2 linked regions of the Arabidopsis thaliana genome follow. The protein of the gene in region 2 interacts with the protein of the main gene of each other region in a pairwise test. Each region holds a gene or a part of one and is shown on either strand. Other genes may lie near its edges. The genes, in order: AT3G55240 and RHD6.

Region 1 (3,942 bases), on a different chromosome or scaffold from region 2:
GACGTTCCCCAAAAAAAAAACAGCCGATCATGGACCAAAAAACAGCTGATCAACGTTTTTACTGATCTGGCTAAAATCTGGACTTTTGGGTTCCGAAACTTGCAAGCATATGGAAACCATGATACAAAATTTCCAAGAGTGCTAAAGCCTTTTAAGGTGACCAAAACCCGAAATAAATAGTTTATTTGAAAATATATACACACGATACATTCAATTAAAACACCACACCATCGATCCATGTATGAGCTAGCGTCCGTTTCATTATATATAATTAAACAGAGGCAATATTATGTGGACCACGTACGTATAACGTACCAAAAAGAGTGTCATCACTCCTTTTTTTGCTGTCTTGCTTGTTGGACCGATGCTAAGATGAAAAAACGATTTACTTATAAACATGCATGCGTCAGGGATAAATCGTTTTCATGAGATTCATATATATAAACTATAAGGTTTTCGAAATCTAACGATCGAACATCGCGATCAGTCGTCGGATTCTTTAGATGAATCCGAGATAATCTTCTGGATCATCTGGTTTGTCTCTTCCTCCGACATTTGCTCTTGTTTGCTTTGCCTCTCCTCATACGCCTTGAAGAATTCCTTGTTCTCTTTCTCCAGCTCCTTCCACACTGTCATTTATTTTGTTCCAATTCATTAATATTATGATAACAAAATATATAGGCCGGATATATATGTTGCAAGGATTTTTATATTTTCTTTGGCTTTTTTTGTATATGTATAAGTTCTAGTCGCCAGGTAGTCAAGTCAGTGTATATAATCATTAATTTGATTATGCATGAGCACTTATATGAATAGAAATATTGAAGATCGATCCATCACGCTAGATCCTATCTGTAGCTAATTAAGTACATATTACATGATCAAATTCTAAATGATGGTATCATAATATGATGATAGCTCCATAATTTATACATATAATTAATCCCGTTAGAGAGTACATAGGTACAGATATGTTTGTGTGTTTATAAGGATTACGGAAAGGTAAAAAGTATTAAAAAAGAGGAGAGAGAGAGAGAGGAATTAAAACCAGTAGAGGTGATGACAGGAGTGATGTTTGCATGCTTAGAGAGAGCTTCCACACACTCTTCTTTGCTCATATGGAAGATCAAACATTTCTCTATCATGTGCTGCACCTATACATACATACACACATCCAAAGATATTGAGGTACATACGTAAAAGATAAATAGATAAGATCATTCATAGAATCGACGGCCGGAGAAGTACATGAGGTTCTTGAATCAATATAATATTACCATGTGAATGTAAGAAGCAGAAGAAGAATCTGCCATTGTTAATGGAAACCCTAGAATTAACACCCAAACTTAAAAGAGAGTCTTCTTTCTAAAAGCCACTTGTGGAGATAAAGACAGCCATATATAGAAGAAGATCACGCAAAAAGATGAAGAAGGAGACAAAAGAGTGAATAGTTGAAAGATGATATGCATGCATGGGGCCAGAAGCCCCACGTGGGAGATTGATCATAATTGGCTGAGAAAGGATTAGAGGAGATTTGTAAAATCACTCTTTCTCTCTTCTCCCTTCGTTTTTTCATTTCCATCTCACGCATCCTCCACGTGATCCATGGCCCCTCTCTCTCTATACATTTTCTGCAAAAAAACACTTAGTCGTGTTTTAATTTCCATAATCTTCTAGAAATTAAATCTATACCTATTTGTTAATGTTTTAACTTATATAAGAAAATGAAAGTTAGTTGTATTGGCTCTAAGAGCACATGATTACATAAAAGGAGAGTAAACGATAAATTCGGAATTTTAAAGGATTGATACTTTAAAAAATGGCAAATAAAATAATGACTTCAACAATTGTAACTCACCGAATTCCTTTTGAAACAATATAAAACCATAGTGCGAAATATACAAGGCATATAATCATAAGTCTTAACACTTATGTTAAGGCTTACCATTAATAAAGAAAAGATAACTGTTGTAACAAACATATCAAATGTATATCTACGATGACTACCGTTGTGTGACCATCGATTTGACAATTGAAATATCATAAGAAGACGTATTAGAGGCCTAGGTCGCCCCTGAACATCGGTACGTCTACTCTTAAGGTGAGGCAAGAGAGGCATGAACTTGTTTTCCTTTTTCTTTTTCTTTTTGTTAAAGGAATGTTGAACTTGTTTAAATAGGGAATACCATGCATATAAAATATATAACTGGTAAGTTGATTGATAAGAACATTTGAAATCACTTGAGCACTTTAAGAAAAGGAGAAGTGAAGAAATATGCGGATGAGATCCAAACGTGGTTTGCATCGAGCAACATTAAGGATAGAAAATCTTTGTAATTTGTTTTTTAAAAAGTTTGCATTTTGCATTCACATGTATAAATGTTTCTTTTTTCTTTGAATATAATCTAGATTCAAAAAAGTTATAATATATATATATATATATATATATATATATATATATTGTAACTACATATTATGAGTATGAGATAATCCATATACATTAGTAAACCTCTGTCGTAAAAAGAACCAACGTAATTTACACGACATGTTATAGATAAATGTTTGCTACTGAATTTTTCAGTTCTGTCATATATGTATGAGCCTCCTCCTAATTAAGTCCTAACTCTTAACCATGCATACCAACATGTTTATTAATATTAAGACCGGTAAAAGAAACCCAGAAATTATCATGTACTTGTTAATGTAGCATAAAAGACAAAATCCCACTCCATCTCATAAATGATAATATTGATATGGATTAGTGGAACCTATTACATCTAATAAACATTACATCTGACGTAAGTTACACAGTTGATTTTGTTTTTTTATAATTAGTTTTTTGAAGTTACGCTATTGAAATTTCTGTCTAATGATTAACTTAGTTCTTTTTCTTCTGAAATTTTTGTTATTTATGAATGACACAAACCCCCGAAAAAGTTGATTACACCAACCAAATGTCGTCGATCTCTTCCAGATAATATTCATAATTTAATCATCTACGTAATTGACTCCTCAAAGTATTAATTTGGGTATAGTCGTACCACCATGACAAGTGTAGTATACGTTACAATAATGGACGGCCAAAAAAAAGGCAAAGTGATCATCAATAGTTTTTTGGTTGGGTAAGGGGACGCGGGAGATTAAAGTTTTTGATTCTAAACCAATAGGACGATGACATGTCACGTATAACAATCCACATTGAGATCAAATAATCGCAAATGGTACAACCATCTGAGTGACGTGGCGCAAATGGACATGAGAGAGAGTGAGAGAATCTACAAAGGTTACGTAAAGAAGTGAGAGACAAACACATTGTGGGTGTTTTGTCGAAATCAAAGGTTTCAGAAGGATCCATCAAATTCAGACATTAAATAAAACTACACATATTCCTCATCATGTGGACCTCTCAATTTGAGTCCTGAAACAGCAACTATTCCCTCGAATCAAATTCAAACCCTATTCATGATCACTTTCTCTCTCATTCCCTCTCCTCGTCAACAAGATTACAAACCAAGACGCCTATTCTCTCTCATCCACTTATTTCTTTTACCTAAGATACTTCCTTATCCAGCTCTTAAGATCATGCTATCAAAGTTCATTCGAATCCGTATGAGTGATTATGTAGTTATAATGAGCGTATATTTCATTTATAAGGAATTTGAAAACGGTTTATGTGTTACAAGAAAATAGTGTATGTATTGTAACGAGTAACGTATATATTACATAAAAATTACTACGGAGTTTACTCTATTTTCTTCTGTCTGTTCATTGTTCTATTTTCTCTGTGTTCATACTTATATTCTTTTGGCTTAGAGATAATCATATACGTATAGTATACCGGATTTTACTTCTAAAGCGCATTCAGTTAAATATGAACTTTCAGTTTTTAACTTTTCTACCAAATAAATTAAGGCACATCATAACTACTTTCCATGGTTATTA
Region 2 (3,942 bases):
TTTAACACTTATTTACTAGTTAAAGATTCCATCCCCGTGTGGACCCATATCAGACTGATCATCGGTGAATTCAATGTCTCTTGTCTTCTCTTCGTTATAGATGCATTAAGAACTTCTCGATTTTCACATAATCTAACGTTACATAATCTCGATTGTCTTCTCTTTGGATCATATTTCAAAATTTACGTGGGATTTATAATCGAGAGAATCATTGTTTCCCCCGATATTATTACAACGTACGTAATTAATGTTTGATAAACTGATTTATTAATGATAAAACCCTTCATTAATTGGTGATCAGATTCGAATTCCTGTCTCGTTGTGATGAGGAGAGAATGGCATCAATGGCGTCTTTAACTTGAGAAATGTCAGGAGCTTTTCCTCCTTGAGCCGGCCAAAACTCATCGGTCGCTAATACCTAACAAACAATAGATTATATCAATACGTGTTACGTAATAATTCGATAAATATGGTAATTAAATCAATCCTGAAAATTAATTTGAGGGATGTTTGTCATAACTAATATACCTTAACTTGTACTTGAAGGAACTTGACATAACTAATAGCCTTTTCAAGCATTGTCACCAAATCAACCTGTGAAACATAACAAATATTATTATCATGAGAATAAGTAATATAATAAATCTGTCATAAATGGTTATATGGATGTGTACCTTGGTGCCATTGGGAACAAGTTCTTGCAATATCTTGAGACGTTCACTTATCCTTTCTCTTCGATTCTGAACAAAATAAAACATATGTAAATATGTGTTGAGAGATTGAGTTTTATTTTAATGAATGTAAATTAATGTCAAGAAAGCAAACCTTGGCTGCTAGGCTTTGTGGATCTTTAGGTGAAGTTGTTGGCTTAGGCTTGGTCTTTCCGGTCACACCGCTACTCAGTTTCTTCGACGGTTGAGTGCTCTCTCCCTATATATCCATAATTCAAATTGATAGTAGTATATATCAACGATCTTTCATTGACATCTTATATGAAAAATATTCACCAAGACTTTGTTGTTTGTAATTACCGTGTGAGAACGTTTGTTTCCAGCGGATTTAGGCGAAAGAGACTCGTTTCTAGAACCAGTGGTTACAACAGTTGAATCAGAATATAACCAGTCTTTCTGGCCTTGGGGAGTTTCGGTGGATCTAGGGCTAATAATATCCATATGATGTTGATGATTCCAGTTTGTGAAGCCGTAGCTCATGTTGTTGCCCTCCAAGAAGGAGAAGCCGCCCCCACCGCTACTACCACCACAGCTTATGGCTGGAGGAGGAAAGCTCTCGTGATGATCAAAGTTAAGAAATGATGATCCGTTGAAATCCATCAAAGAGTTGTGATGATCTTCACCGGATGGGTAAAATACAAACCCCTGATGTTGTTGATGATCTGAATTCATCGTGCTACTGCTCGAAGCCGAGCCTCCTCCTCCTCCTCCACCGGCATAAGCTGCATCTGGCTGATCCAGTCCCGGCGAGGAGAGATCTTCGGAAGAGGAGGAATTTTGTTTTGACAAGTAATTGGTCTCGTTGGGATGGTCATTAACGAGTGCCATTAGACACTAATAAGTTTGATAAGTGATTTTTTGTTTAGGGTTTTTGTGTGTCTTGTTGACGAAAAGTGGCTTTAAGGTTGTCTATTGGTAAGCAAAGAGAGACAATGTGTTTGTGTAGTTATGTTATGATAAAGGTTTATATAAGTGGTTTATGTCTAATATTTTATTTAAGCTAGTGACGTATTCTTAAGATTTTTTTTTAATTTATTGAGTTTGATTAAACTGATTAGAAAAAGAAGCTGGCATTAGATCAAATTCAATATTTTACGTCATTTTTTAAACTCTTATCAGTTTGAAGCTTCGAAGTTATGAATGCATAGAATTCTAGCTAGACATATGTTATTTTTTGTACATTTCCTTAACTGGGAATATTGGACTAGCATGCCTAAAACGTATGGTTACTAAAAATGCTTGTATTTGTTTTGTTTTTTTGTAGTCATTGTCTCCTTGTAATGTTGTTAGTAACAACTTGTTACTCTGCCTATGGACACTCATATTTCTTAGTTCTTTCAAGATAATGACATCCATTTTACTCCGATGTTCATCGACAGACACTACACAACATTTTTTTTTTTTTTTTTAATGTGATACTTGAAGATAATGACAATCACTTTTCTACTAGATGAATAGTTCTAATAAACACAACCTTACATGTTTTCTGATACTTTTTAGATCCTCTTTAAAAAGATAGCTAAAATTTTGGTATTCTAACTTTTAAATTTTACATATTTATGATACTTCCACATATTCTTTCATTTCGTACTAACTGCACTGGTTCCATTATTTGCTTCTATCCCACTATTTTCTCACAGTTAAATTTGTTCCATTTTTTTTTTTTTTGGACAAAAAATTTGTTCCATTGTTATTATTTGAAACCTTACTCTATACAATAGTTCTTAACCAAAAAAAAGTTGTATGTTTAATATATCGTAAAATCTACTACATTTTTATTTAACCAATAAAACATATTCACATTATTATTTTATTTTTAATTTTCAATTAACTGAATGGATAAATATAAATATGAAAAATGTAAATTAAGTATTAATTAATTATAAATTTCGATATTTATTGAAAATTGTAGTAAGAATACTGAGTTTTCATTAGTTCTTTTTCACTTTTAATTTGTTAAACTCAAATGAACCCAAATTAAGGTATTTTTTTTTTTAAAAAAAGAATATTGTAAAAGATTGTCTATAGACAGAATTATCTTTTATGGTATTTAATCAATTGAATCGAGTCGGTACCATATATGTTATATAAAAAATACTCCAAACATAGACCACTAATACTGGTGAGGAAAAATTATATAAGTTATTTGTATTGTATATAATTTTAGCAACTAATGTGGCACTGTAAAACCACATGATCAACAATGTAAATAATAAGAACTCATTTTAAAAAATGGCATAGAAAAAATCTTGACGTCGGGGAAAAATATGGATCGCATATCAAATACATCATTATCTTTTTGGAGTGATAAAAAAAATGAATGAACGTAAATTAAAGTGTTGTATTACAATATTTATGAGTAATTGTTGTATTACAATATTTATGAGTAATTCATCGGGATTGTTAGCTGGCAGTAAGGTGAAATTAATGGACTGAGACTTTATAACCCCAAAAATAGTTTATTAATTAAGAGAAGCGAAAAACATAGAAGCAAAATCATCGCCGTATCTTCCGCTAATCTACACGTCTTTTTGATTCCCATATATATGATCGATTCTAATATATATCAATTCTTTCGATGATTCATTTTCATTGTTTATTTTGTTTCGATGATTCATTTTTCCTAAGAACCTGCTTCTTACTTTCATTTCTTTAGCCGACACGTCGACTTATAAGTAATATACTCCATAATATAGTTGTTTTAGGCTAACTTGTTTTATTTATTTTATCTTCGTTAATATCTTTGTATATAATCTTTTTTTTTTGTTGAAGTTTTGGACATTCGGCCCATTCTTTGGGTTTAGAGACCAAAACATGCTAAAACCTTTTTTTTTTTGGTAGAAATAAAATTCAAACTAGTTCGATACTAATTTATGTTTTGTACAATCCGTCTTTATTGAAATAACGTTCTTTTTTATTCCTTTTTTAAATCATTTTGAGGATTTTTTTCGACAAAAAAAAGTTAGGATTTTTTTTGCTTTCAAATAAAACATTCACACCTTATCAAACCAGTTAACATTTACTCATTTTTGATGGGCCGAGCGAGTAAAGTGGGAGCAAAGCCCACGCCCAACATTATTGTGAAATAAATTATTGATGAAACTGTGAAAATAATATAATCATATAAGTTAGTAAGATAAAAATCTAGAATTTAGAGAATCGAAATCATTTAATGAAATTATCTAACAAAAAATATTATATATTGTATTAT

Evidence for each region.
Region 1: the proteins of RHD6 (region 2) and AT3G55240 interact in a two-hybrid assay, tested with the Arabidopsis thaliana proteins (one large-scale study listed by BioGRID).

The regions. Positions count from the first base shown.
Region 1 is NC_003074.8:20,473,393-20,477,334, forward strand, and holds the start of AT3G55240 (Plant protein 1589 of unknown function), read right to left. Parts: upstream 1,941-3,942; 5' UTR 1,314-1,940; coding exon 1,278-1,313; intron 1,155-1,277; coding exon 1,049-1,154; intron 630-1,048; coding exon 484-629; 3' UTR 1-483.
Region 2 is NC_003070.9:24,792,943-24,796,884, reverse strand, and holds the start of RHD6 (ROOT HAIR DEFECTIVE6), read right to left. Parts: upstream 1,672-3,942; 5' UTR 1,560-1,671; coding exon 1,032-1,559; intron 931-1,031; coding exon 826-930; intron 741-825; coding exon 675-740; intron 595-674; coding exon 529-594; intron 419-528; coding exon 287-418; 3' UTR 1-286. UniProt on the Arabidopsis thaliana protein: Transcription factor that is specifically required for the development of root hairs. Acts with RSL1 to positively regulate root hair development. Acts downstream of genes that regulate epidermal pattern formation, such as GL2.